2 linked regions of the Oryctolagus cuniculus genome follow. The protein of the gene in region 1 purifies or fractionates together with the protein of each later gene. This does not show direct contact. Links are inferred from orthologs where the notes say so. Each region holds a gene or a part of one and is shown on either strand. Other genes may lie near its edges.

Region 1 (6,651 bases):
TCCCTCCTGTTAATTTCAACCAAGTCATGTCATTTTTGGTATAAAGGTCTTGCATGATTTTATTAAATTTATCTCAGAAGTTTTATGTCTTTTAATGTTGCTTAAATAGCAGTGTACTTTATTTTCCCAGTGTTTATTTCTAGTATACAGAAATGGTCTGTGTATTTGTGTCAGTATACTGACCTTGTGCCCTACAAATTTGCTAAATTCACCTAATAGTTCTGGTAGCTTTTTGGTAGCCTCCTAAGCATCCATGTTTACAATCATATTATTTGCTAATAGAAATGGTTTTGCTTGATTTTTTTTCTACATTTAGTTCTTTTTTATTTATTTTTCTTGCCTTAATGTTCCAAAACTTCTACTACAGTGTTAAGTGAAAGAGAGAAGAGAGGGACAGCCTTGTCTCATTCCTGATCTTAGGGGAGAAACATTCAACCCGAAAATTATTTTTATGTAATAAGATAATCTAGCTCGTGTCCCAGGTCATTGGCCAGTTATCCTCCTAACCCTGTTGAATGACTCAGCCTTTCCCCACTAGTCTGAAACGGCTCTTTTAGCACCTGTGCAAGTCTATTGTACATTTGTGTCTGATCTCCTTTTGGTAAAACATGTTGCATCGATACAGCATAATGGAAGTTAGAAGGGGGGTGTTTAGTATGGTGCCAGAGCTTTATAGTCAGCACATACGTAGTACTTCCCAAAGTGGAGGGGGCACTCCAGAGAAATTGGAGGACAGGAAGGCCGGACAGCTGGCCAGCAGCTAGCGTGGTGGTGTTTTAGAGAGCTTGTCTGAGGAAAGTCACCATGTTGCCAGGAAGAACGCGTTAGTGACAGACCGGGGTGGTTCCAGACGGAGATGAGACCAGTTGCAGTTGCCCAGAGCTCAAGGTGGCCTAGTGGGAGGGTCCTTGTGAGGAGGAGGATGGGTGTTTCAGCAGCTGTGGTGCTCTGGGATGGCTGACATGGGCATCGCTGTGTGTTTGACTCTTAAGGCAAAGGCCAGGATGGAACCGGCAGCAAAACAGAGAAGACGCTGGGTGACTTTGCAGCCGAGTACGCCAAGTCCAACAGAAGCACATGCAAGGGGTGCATGGAGAAGATAGAAAAGGTGAGAGCCCAGGGCCCCGGGGTCTCACTTTGCGAATCACTCACATTGAATGTTGCTGGCTGTCTCAAGTAGGGCTTTAGCTCAACATAAGCAGCTAAGTATGAGGATCTTAGTAGAGGCTGGAGATGACAATGCCTCTTCTTCCAGACAAGCCTGGCACTGCTTACTCCTGGTCCAGTGCTGTGTGTGTGGCTCCATCCACCCACCCGGAGGACACTGGGAGAGTCTGGGCCTCCTTTAGACCCAGCAGTGGTGGGGAGGAAGGCTGTTTGTGTCCTGGAAGGGTTAAGTGAGTGTTTTCCCTGGTGTGAGTCTCCAGCTTTCTTTAATCTACTCAGAGGAACTTCATTACCGTCCCCACTAATTCTCGTCCCTGAAGGCTGACAGCCAGTGAGATGGAATGGGGGCCGTCCAAGGAGCGGAGACACAGGCAGAGGGAAGACCCGTGCCCTCCAGCCTTCTCACCCTCCTCTGATGTTACATCCAAATACTAATTGATTCACTTACGGCGTTGATGGAGAGTTGCTGCCTCCTCAAGGGTGTTGTGCAGGAAATCGAGTTGAGCCAGTGAGAAAACCGTGGAACTGCTAGATCTTCTCCAGCCGTTTCCAACCACCAAAACTGTGGGGCAAGAACGACGGTCCTCTTCCCTTGCCTGGCAGTGCCGGGCGCTGCCTGGCATGAGTTAGGGAGAGCAGCAGCAGCCCCATGCTCTGAGTTCTCTGACGAGAAACTTGCAGGAACCCCAGGCCTGATCATTGCAGGACTGGGTTCTTGCCTTTGGATTTATTACTGAGTCATAGGGGGGCTTCCTAAGTGTACAGTCCAAATTGTCCATGAGAAAGTGGGAATGAGCAAAAAAAAAACTGGCTCTGCCCAGTGTACCATGTCAGGTTTTCCTGTGCCTGCCCCAGGTCGGGGAAGTTCTCCTGTGTCCAGGCAGGTAGGCCAACAGCATAATTTGGAATTGCCCCTATTAAAGATGTAGGTGCTGAGGTTGAGAGTGGTGCACAGTCCTGGGGGGCACAGGAGAGCCATGACCTGCCATGGCCTTTGAGTTGCTGGCAGAGTCTTGGCTTGGACCACGACCCCTCACTGGCTGGTGTGGAGCCTGGCCCCTGATGTTTACCCTCCTGCCATGTCATTCCCTAGAAACTACACGTGCTTTCCCCCTTAGGGTCAGGTGCGCCTTTCCAAGAAGATGCTGGACCCAGAGAAGCCACAGCTGGGCATGATCGACCGCTGGTACCACCCGAACTGCTTTGTCAAGAACAGGGAGGAGCTGGGTTTCCGGCCCGAGTACAGTGCAAGTCAGCTCAAGGGCTTCAGCCTTCTCTCTGCAGAGGATAAAGAGGCCCTGAAGAAGCAGCTCCCGGGGGTCAAGAGTGAAGGGTAGGTAGAGCACAGGGGGCCTGGGGGCTCTGGGGATTGGTGAGGGGCCTTGGGGGCCCCAAGAGCCCTCCAGATTTCACAGCTCTCCTGCGTCCCTTTGCTGACTGTCAGAAAGCCAGGGAGAGGCAGGCTGAGGGCCGTGAGAGCAGAGCTGTGGGAGTAGGGGGCAGGATAGAGGAAGACTGCAGGGAGCATCCAGTGCCTATTCCTATAGCTGTAGCCCCTGCCAAGAGCCCACTCCCCTCGAAGGTCTGCTTCCCAGTCTGAGTTTTCCCCTTGCCTGGGGCAGCTACCACATTTCCTCCAACCCACTCATGACCCACCTTCACAGGAGTGCGTGTGAATTGTGTTCCTGTGTGTCGGTCTCTAGGAATGGTGCTGGGAAAGTCTCAGCCATTTTTAAATGCAGAGTGGACCATGGGTAATAAGTTCCTGGCTTGGAGTTGGGGATGGTACAGATCTCTTGTGATGTTTTCATTTAGGATGGGAAGGATCATCAGTGAGGGTCTTCAGTCTGTGGTCACTGCCTAGTCCTTCCCGTGGACCCTGTGCGGGCTCCTTGGCCCTGACCTAGAGGTGCTTGCAAACAAGCACACTGCGCAGTGTGGCAGGGTCGTGTGCCCTGTGCTGCTTGGACAGCAACCGGACCACCGTCATGGAGCAGCCTTCGTAACGTCTTTTCAATTCACAGCACACAGATTGTTGAAGTGACAGTGGGATGAGTGAGAAAATGGAAAGTCCCTGGGGCATTGCAGCACGTGACGTGTGCCGCAGTTCATGAGCCACTCTCCTGCCATAGTGGCCAGAGTGTGCTGAGCACGTCTGATGGGTGCTATGCTTGGGCTGTTGCATTTGCCCATCACCGCGATCCTCAAAAGTCAGTGGCAGCCTTTTCCTTATTTTGTGGGTGAGGTGAACCCAGGCCTGCATGCCAGCTGAGGCTGTGTCTTAACTGCTGGGCAGAATGGCTAGTTAGCAAGGCTCCGACTTTGACTGCTTCTGCTTCTGAGCAGTGTGGCCCAGCCTCTGAGAACAGCTCCTTGGCCTTGGGGGCAGCCCTGTGTTTTGAGCTCAGAAGGCTCCGTTCTGGTGCTTGAGTGGGCTTACCTCCTGCTTTCTTTGTTCCAGCCAAGAAACAATATGGGGTTTTTGACATCGATGGCTCTTGAGCCTTGGATCTTGTTCCAAGGCCCTGGAGCAACCCACAGCCCCCTTGCTCAACTGGTAGATTTTCTTCTGAAATAGATAAAGTCTCCTGCCTTGGTGGTTGCAGGTGCTGCCCAAGGAGAGACAGTGAGCTCCTAAGAGCACTGAGCAGGATGCATGTGGGGTGAGGGCACTGGTGAGAGTGAGCAGGGCCCAACAGGTCTTAAAATACTCCGTCCTGCTTACATGTTGGGTGCCTGAGTTGTTCCGGCCCTGGGTCTTTGTCTTACATCCCATGTCTCTTGCAGAAAAAGGAAAGGGGATGAGGTGGATGGAATGGATGAAGTGGCCAAGAAAAAATCTAAAAAAGAAAAAGACAAGGAGAGTAAGCTTGAAAAGGCCCTCAAGGTAAGTTCTGTGGTCTCAGTTCTGTAACTTCTAGCAAGAAAATTCAGGGAAGTGTGTCCCACTCACTAGGACCTGCCAAGATCACAGCTGTCACTAGGTAGCCTGACTTTGCCCCAGCTTGTTTTGCTTCCCTCCTCTTCCCTCAGAAGAGAATATGCATTGGGCTATGGGTGCCAGAGCTATAGCCAGGCCCAGGCAGGCACTGGCACCCTGTCCCCTCTCCCCTGCCTCACCTCAGGATGGTGGAGATGGCAGCACCTGCCAGGTCTCTTGCATACACTGGAGGCCAAATGTTGAATTCAAGGAAGCCAGAGATTCTTAGCATAGACAGATTGCCTGAAGAGGTAGATTTCCCACGTTTTTACAATGAAGATCTCTTGTTTAAAAGTAAAAGGGATAATGGTAACAGGGGAGAAGACTGTTCAGTCGATAACCATTGACCAAGGAGAGTCATCATGGTATTGATTATGCTACAGGTGGTGAAGCAGTGTGAAAATTATCAGTCAGAAAATGCTGGGTGTTGGAGAAAGTAGGGGCAAACAGTCAGAAGTCAGTCTCTGAGGACCATGATTTCCATGAGCCATGTGCTCTTGTCTCTGGTATGAGTACTCAGGTTTTGCTTGTGGTATGAAAATTAGCACGTGATTCTTACAAAAGAATCACAGATTTGTGTTATGGGGAATAAAAATGTCCGCTCTGCATCACATCTGGCTGCAGTAGAGCCACAGCCCATAGTGCATTTGCCCTTCAGTCCCTGTGCTCTCTCCCTGATGTTGTCAGAGATGGAAAGAAAGAAACTCAAAGTGCTTCCCCACGCTTGCACCTCTGTTTCTGCTGGCTCATCTGGTGTTGGAGGTTCAGGAGTTATTCCACTTGCATTTGACCTTGTACCCAGGACTTCCTTGAAGTGCAGGGTGTCCCACCATGTGCTGAGGGAGGAGGAGGAGGGCAGGGGAGATTGTTGAGTCCCTAACAGTGGAGCTGGGAAACAGGCGCAAATGTGAGTGACTGCAGCTTTGAGTCAGTGTTCATTTGGTGCTGATGGTGAGTCTGTGGGTATCATAGGGTTGGCATTTTCGTCTCCATTTTTTCACATGGAGGGAATCTGAGGCCAAGAGGGTGAGTCCTACAGAGAGAGGAGACCCCCTGGCCTCCACTCTAAGATGGGGAGGCCCATGCTCTTCCCAGCCAGGCACTTGTGAGAGTAAGTGAGGTGACCTGTCAAAGTACACAACAAAGAGCAGGCCCTTCATAGACATTAAAAACTTAAAAGTCCTTTTTCAGGAGAACTTAAATGTGTCCCTGCATGGTACTGAATTGATACACTATTAAGAAATTAGTGTTCGGAATCATTCCTACTGTCAAATTGGTAGAGGGGCAGACATTTGGTAAAGCAGTTAAGACACCACCTGGGCTACCCACATGCCATATTGGAGTGCCTGGGTTCTAGCCCTGGCTCTGCTCCCAGTTCCAGCTTCCTGCTAATGTGCACCCTGGGAGGCAGCAGGTTAGGCTCACATACTTGGGTTCCTTCCAGCCATGTGAGAGACCCAGATGGAGTCTTATTTTGGTGTGACCCAGTCCCAGCTGGTGGTAGCATTTGGGAAATAAACCAGCTAATGGAGGCTCTCTGTAGATATCCTTTGTGTGTGTCTGTCTATCTGTCTCTGCCTTTCAAATAAGAAAAGATTGACAGAGAACAGGCACACCCTACCTCCTTTGGCCTCTGGCTATTGGTGGTCGACACATGTGGGCCATTTAGCACTTACAGGCCCCTGTGTGTCTTGTGGGCTTGGTTTCTGAGGGATGCATTCCAGGGGCTTTGGTGACTTTGTTACGTCCTTCCCCACACTTGTTAATGGTTTCTTCCCCACCTTGCACAACTCTTTGAGAGCCCATGCTTCATATTCAATTTGAGACCTGCTGGAGCATGGCAAGGACTTAAAATCTACTGCTCAGACCGTCTTTTCGGGAGAGTCAGTTCAGCTAATCCTCTGGTGTGTGCTTGAGGCCAGGCATGTCCAGGGGTATACTCTTCCTTCAGTTGAAAAGAGAGGCCTCTCACTCAGCTGCTGGGTCTTGTCCCTAGGCCCAGAACGACCTGATCTGGAACATCAAGGATGAACTAAAGAAAGTATGTTCGACCAATGACCTGAAAGAGCTGCTCATCTTCAACAAGCAGCAAGTGCCTTCCGGGGAGTCGGCGGTGAGCGGCCTTAGTGTTAGAGCGGGACACGCCTGTGAGGCCGACTGTCCTAATGGAATATGCGAGGCCCTCCGTTTGAACACCTACTGGTATTAGCTGCGAGGAGTAAAACCTCGGTGGTCATGTTGTACAGTCATCACTGCCATTGTGGTCACCATTTCCCCAGGGGCAGTTGGGACAGGCCCTACCAGACATTTCTCATGTTGACACTTGCTGTGGAATTCTGCTGGGGGCTAGAGTGGGCCATGTTTGCCTTGAATGGTCATACCACATACTTTGGCCTGAGTAGCACTCTCAGCTGCCTTCTGCCCAAACTCCCTGGGGCTGCAAGGCTTGTGGAGGGAAAGAGACCCTTCTGCAAGGTGGTATGCCAGGGTCCCAGCATTTCCCC
Region 2 (6,259 bases), on another chromosome or scaffold:
GCCACAGCAGAGAGCTGGATTGGAAGAAAAGAAGCCGGGACTTGAACCATTGTCCACATTGGATGCCGGCACTGCAGGCAGAGGATTAACCTTTTGCGCCCCTACCTAGTGTCTTAACCTCTGCAAAACAGCGCCCTGCACTTTACATTTCAAGAAAAACAAGCCGGCGCCGTGGCTCAACAGGCTAATCCTCCACCTTGCGGCGCCGGCACACCGGGTTCTAGTCCCGGTTGGGGCGCCGGATTCTGTCCCGGTTGCCCCTCTTCCAGGCCAGCTCTCTGCTATGGCCAGGGAGTGCAGTGGAGGATGGCCCAGGTGCTTGGGCCCTGCACCCCATGGGAGACCAGGAAAAGCACCTGGCTCCTGGCTCCTGCCATCGGATCAGCGCGGTGCGCCGGCTGCAGCGGCGGCCATTGGAGGGTGAACCAACGGCAAAGGAAGACCTTTCTCTCTCTCTCTCTCTCACTGTCCACTCTGCCTGTCAAAAATAAAAAAAAAAAAAAAAAAAAAAAAAAAGAAAAACAACTGCTCGAAGGGTGACTCCTGGTGGGTGGCTCCCCTTGTTTCAATCACAAATTGGGCTTTTAAACACTTCGAGGGACAAGTGTTTGATGGCTGCATCCCATGTCGAAGTGCCTGGGTCATGTCCTGGCTGCTGCACTTGCCATCCGGCTTCCTGCTGATGCCCCCTGGGAGCACAGATGATGGTCAGGTAGCTGGGCCCCTGCCATTGACATAGGAGACCCAGATTGAGTTCTGGGTCCCTGGCTTTGCACGTGGACCAGCCCTGGCTGGTGTGGGCATTTGGGGAGCTGACCAGCAATGGAAGATCCCTCCCTCTCTCAAATAAAATGAAAATAAATCTTAAAACTCTTAAAATCTTTGCATACAAAGCACCGGGAAGAAAAAGGTCCAGTCAGCTGCTCCCGGGAGCCTCTTGTCGCAATGAGCAGGACTTCCCTGAGCAGTGGCCACCAGCTTGGGAACCACCCAGGCCTGTGGCAGGCTCTTCCTGTGTGACCCAGGAGGCCGCCCGCCTGTTGTCTGCTGCCGCCTGCTTTGGCCATCTCTCAGTGCCCCGGCTTCCTCACCTCTAAAGTGGAGCTGGAAATGATGCCCGCTGAGGGCCAGGGATGACCCCACGTTTGTCACACGCTGAACACACTGCCACAGGCCGGCGGGTGCCGCGGGTGTGAGCCCGCGCCCTGGGAGCCGGGAGCTCGGCGTGAACACACTGCCACAGGCCGGCGGGTGCCGCGGGTGTGAGCCCGCGCCCTGGGAGCCGGGAGCTCGGCGTGAACACACTGCCACAGGCCGGCGGGTGCCGCGGGTGTGAGCCCGCGCCCTGGGAGCCGGGAGCTCGGCGTGGGTCTTTGAAGTGTCTTTGCTGGCAGGAGTCCTCAGGAGAAGCCGACTTTGGCTCCCAGAGGGAAAGTGATTTCCGTCTGGTTTTCCCTTTCTAAAACGGGACGAGGAGGGAGGCGAGGGAGGACGCCCGGGGCCTGGATGGGCAGCTGGACAGCAGGGGTCTGTGGAGCGGGCAGGCCAGGAAAGAGGCCCCGAGCGCCTGCCGGATGCGGGGCTCCTGCCGCCCCAGCGGCCTCGTGCCTCCCTCCGGACTCCACATCCCGCCCCCAGGTACCTCATGGCAGGACCCAGCTCCAGCAGCGAGGACGAGGGTGGCTCTCACAGCGGCGGCAGTGGGGACGAAGCCCCCAGGCTTCCCCGGAAGGTTTGACCAAGGCCCTGCCAGTGGGGAGGGGGACAGGGAGTTACGTGGTTGCCCCAACTCCCCACCCCAGCCCCCCACATACCCACACTGCCCCTCCTTCCTCAGCGTCCCCAGACCAAAGCCAGGCCCCCTCAGGCAGCTGGACCCAGCTCACCCCAGAGGCCTCCAACCCCCAAAGAGACCAAAGCAGCCTCACCCGCTCCCCAGGATGACACAGACACTGAGGGGGAGCCGTCAGGTCAGAGTCCGAGGGAGGAGGGCTGGGGCCGGGGCCCCTGGGTCCGAGGGAGGAGGGCTGGAGATCCAGACTCCCGTGTGTAAGGGGAGAGGGGTCTGGGGGGTGGGTGGCGGGTCACCAGATGCCAGGCGGCGAGGTGGGGAGAGGGCTCCAGCCTTGCAGAAGACACAGCACCTCCTGGCACTCACCGACTCCCACTCGCAGGACAAGACGATGGGGCCGAGGATTCTGGGGACACGGAGGACGAGCTGAGGAGGTAGGGCCGGGCTGGGGTCAGGGCCGGGCTCCAGGGCTGCGGGGCATCTGCCCCACCTGCTCACCCGCACCCCCTCGGCTTCCCCAGGGTGGCGGAGCAGAAGGACCAAAGGCGGCCCCCTGACCAGGGCGAGAACGGCGAGGACCCGTACGCGGGCTCCACTGACGAGAACACGGACAACGAGGATGAGCCGGAGCCGCCCGACCTGCCAGTTCCTGAGCTCCCAGGTGGGGCTCCCTCCGTCCCTGCTGCGGGCCGGTGCCGTCCGTTCTTGCCTTGACCCGGCCCAGCCAGTCCGGGGGTCACTTCACTGCTGGCTCCCTCTTCCTCCTCGGCCGCCTCCAGGCCTCTTCCCTGTCCCTGTGGCTTACCCATGACATCCCCTTTTGTCCCCACCCCCTCTGCCTCCTCCCCTCCAAGCCCAGTGCCAGGGGTGACCCCTTGGACATGTCCCCCAGGTGAGTGGCCGCCTGGGCTGGTGCTTCACCCACCCCCCGCAGGTGCACCTGTCGGGTGGGGGGACACGGGCACCGCTGTCCATTGGAACCTCGGTGGGCATGCCTGTTCACTTTAACACTAGTCATCATCCTGGACCAGTGGCCACGGGTGTGGCGGGGGCAGGAGCCAGAGCCTCCTGGGTGGAGGGGAGGCCCAGGCCACTGAGCAAACTTGGCAGCTGGCTCCTCATGGGTGAGGGGTGCGCTGTACTCTGATTCTCCAGAGCCCCCAGGTAGCATCAGTCGGTGGCCTGGGAAGTCACGGGAATGGAGAGGAAGGAAGCCACCCGGGGGTGGGCGAGAGGACGCTGCCTGGGGAGGAGGGAGCCCCAGAGGTGGGTGCAGCGTGGTTCTGGGCTCGCCAGCAGGGGCCCGGGATCGCGCCTTCCCTCCAAGCAGAGAAGCAAACCAGCAGCCTCCGGGGGGCGCTGTTGGGCTGGGCACCACTGCCTGCCGCCCCGTTTGGGCCCAGCGTTCTCTGGCTCCTGGCCGGTGTCGTGGCACTGGTGGGGGCGGGGGCTCACGCTGCCTCTTCTCCGCCTCTCGCAGACTTCTTCCAGGGCAAACACTTCTTCCTGTATGGGGAGTTCCCCGGGGACGAGCGGCGCAAGCTCATCCGATACGTCACCGCCTTCAACGGGTCAGTCTCCAGAGGGTGGGAGGGCGCAGGGTCGTGGTGGGAGGAAGAAGCTGGGGAGGGGGAAGGGCCGTAGTCCACAGGGGGCGCGAGCCGTGGAGCGCAGGGCCCGCGCTGTCCACAGCTGCAGTCCTGCGTGCGGTGCTTCCCTGTCCTCTGCTCTGAAGGGCCGCTGTCACTGACCGGCCGCACCGGCCTCTGGGAGAACGCGGGCTCCGCCAGCAGGGGGCAGAGGGTGGGAGGAGGAGCCCGCGGCTCCCGGCCCCGCCCACAGCCTCTCCCCCACCCGCCAGGGAGCTGGAGGACTACATGAGCGACCGCGTGCAGTTCGTGATCACGGCACAGGAGTGGGACCCCAGCTTTGAGGAGGTGAGTCCTAGAGGGGCAGACAAGGGGGGCCTCATTGTCCTGCAGCCCTCCCTTCCGGAACCCCATCCTCCCCCTCTCCCACCCGCAGGCCCTGATGGACAACCCGTCCCTGGCCTTCGTCCGCCCCCGCTGGATCTACAGTTGCAACGAGAAGCAGAGGCTGCTTCCGCACCAGCTCTACGGGGTGGTGCCCCAGGCCTGAAGAGTGCGGGGCACACGCGCACACACGTACATACACGCACATGTGCACACGCACACGGGAGGTGGGCTTAATAAAGACGACTTGGTTTGCAGCACCTGCCCCTTGGCACACAGGAGTCCCCCACGCCTGTCTCCTCTCCCCCGTGGGGCCAGGAGGAGATGGCCCCTCCGTCTGGGGGGGCAGGGCTCTGCCTGTTCTCCCCGGCCCCACCGCCCGTGTGGGAGAGCAGGGAGCTGAGAATCTGATGGTGCCGCAGCCCAGGGAGCCTGTCCTGCCACCCGGTCCTCCCGCCGTGGACCGTGGGCTGGAGGCCTGGACGGCTGGACGCCCGGGAGGTGTGCTGCTCTCCAGGGGCCTCCCCTTTGCCCCAGGGCCTCCAGAAGCCGCCGGGGGCATCACCAGTGTGGTTTCACCTCACCTCATTTAGGAGGTGGGTGGGAGGGGGGCCCTTCAAGGCTCTACCAGTTCCAAGTGAGAGCTGAGCTGTGTCAGGCAAGCAGGCAGGGGCCGCGGCATGTGCAAAGGCCAGGGGGCGGGAAGCAGCCCAGGGCAGCTGGTGGAGGACTGCTGCCCTCTGTTTCAGGGGCACGTTCAGCGGGAGCGGGCCCAGTCCTCGCAGCTGTGCCGTCCCGGGCAGCAGACACAGACACCCGGCTGGGTAGTTTTGTCTGAGAGGCAGGGAAGCAGTGGGCAAAATGAGCTCCCATCGCCGGCGCCACGGCTCACTAGGCTAATCCTCCACCTGTGGTGCCAGTACTCCGGGTTCTGGTCCCGGTTGGGGTGCCAGGTTCTGTCCTGGTTGCCCCTCTTCCAGGCCAGCTCTCTGCTGTGGCCAGGGAGAGCAGTGGAGGATGGCCCAGGTGCTTGGGCCTGCACCCCATGGGAGACCAGGAGGAAGCACCTGGCTCCTGGCTTTGGATCAGTGCAGTACAGCGGCCGCAGTGGCCATTTGGGGGGTGAACCAATGGAAGGAAGACCTTTCTCTCTGTCTCTCTCTCACTAACTCTGCCTGTCAAAAAAAAAAAAAAAAGAGCTCCCACCTGCTGGTTTACTCCCCAGATGGCTGCAGTGGCCGGGGCTGGGACACTCCCTGTCTCCCACATGGGCGTCAGGGCCGTTACCTGAGCCGTCAGCGTTGCCTCCAGGTCTGTAGTAGCAGGAAGCTGGAGTCGGGAGCCAGACTCGGGAAGGGCACCAGGCACTCCGGTGGGGGCACCAGCATCTGGAATGCTAGGCTAATCAGCTGCCCCACAGGTGACCATTTACCTCATGTGAGATGAACTCCATTCCTTGGGTCACACCGGCCATGGTGGCTCCCCGTCCCTGAGGGGCTGTCCTGAAGGGCCGTGAGCACCAGGCCGGGGGCTGAGCAGAGCCAAGGCCAGGGTCAGAGCTGGGCTGAGATCTGACCTCTGGGGAAACTTCTTGGGCCGTCCCAGCCCCTGTACCCCTGTGCCGCCTCAGCCAGAGGCCAGCGGCCTGGCTCCGTGCACGTGTTCGTTCCTGCACACATGGACGGGCCACTCCTGTTAGCATGTGCTGTGATGTCACAGGTGTGTGGCTCGAGACAGCAGACACTGGTCATCTAGCAGGTCCTAAGGGCAGAAGTTTGACGTGGACTTCGCTGGGCTGATAGTCCGGGCGTGGGCAGGGCTGGGTCCCTTCCAGGGAGTCTGCTCTCCCTCTCCCACACCCCTCCCGTATTCAAGGCCAAGGACAGGCAGACTCCTCCCTCTCAGCCCTCCACATTGAGACCTGTGTTTACGTTGGGCCCAGCTGGACCTGGTACGTGTCAAGGTCTGCTCAGTAGCAGCCTTCATTTCCTTCTTCTGCCTATGTCTCTGCCACGTGACGGGTCCCCAGGTTCCGGGGATGATGTGAGCGTGTGTGGGAGGCCCTCCCTCTGCCTGTCACGCCTGCCCCGGGAGAGATGACAGTCCCTGACCTCATGGGGCTGACACTGCTGGGGGCAGACCCTGGGAGATGCAGTGGGAGCCGATAAGGCAGGGCAGGGGCAGGGTGGACTAGGTGGGCCTTGGGAAGGCCTCTCAGAAGACCCGCCCCCTCTGCAGGGACCTGGCAAAAGGGAGGGAGACTGGGAGCTGCCTTCCAGGCCCAGGAAAGTGAGTGCAGGGCCCTGGGGCAGAAGTGCCCTGGCTGTTCACGGAGCAGCAGGACTCGCACTCTGCCCCTGCCCCATTACCGGCTTGTGTGTCAGTCTCTTCCCTCTGGCCTCACTTACCCCTGCACAAAGCAGGATTGAGTCAGATCGTCTCTCTAGTGAGTGCATCCTGGGAACTTGGAGCAGCTGTCCCAGGACAGCTCCCG

Evidence for each region. Proteins that work in one complex are often made in the same cells at the same time.
Region 2: the proteins of PARP1 (region 1) and XRCC1 purify together in Homo sapiens (affinity purification with western blotting; 9 studies listed by BioGRID and IntAct, with this or other methods). This does not show direct contact. The link is inferred for Oryctolagus cuniculus from reciprocal best matches to the Homo sapiens genes PARP1 and XRCC1.

What each region holds. Positions count from the first base shown.
Region 1 is NC_091444.1:39,036,918-39,043,568, forward strand, and holds part of PARP1 (poly [ADP-ribose] polymerase 1), read left to right. Parts: intron 1-992; coding exon 993-1,108; intron 1,109-2,285; coding exon 2,286-2,500; intron 2,501-3,954; coding exon 3,955-4,054; intron 4,055-6,143; coding exon 6,144-6,260; intron 6,261-6,651. UniProt on the Homo sapiens protein: Poly-ADP-ribosyltransferase that mediates poly-ADP-ribosylation of proteins and plays a key role in DNA repair.
Region 2 is NC_091449.1:12,348,776-12,355,034, forward strand, and holds the end of XRCC1 (DNA repair protein XRCC1), read left to right. Parts: intron 1-1,638; coding exon 1,639-1,732; intron 1,733-1,837; coding exon 1,838-1,970; intron 1,971-2,174; coding exon 2,175-2,226; intron 2,227-2,313; coding exon 2,314-2,453; intron 2,454-3,272; coding exon 3,273-3,363; intron 3,364-3,653; coding exon 3,654-3,729; intron 3,730-3,817; coding exon 3,818-3,931; 3' UTR 3,932-4,022; downstream 4,023-6,259. UniProt on the Homo sapiens protein: Scaffold protein involved in DNA single-strand break repair by mediating the assembly of DNA break repair protein complexes. Negatively regulates ADP-ribosyltransferase activity of PARP1 during base-excision repair in order to prevent excessive PARP1 activity.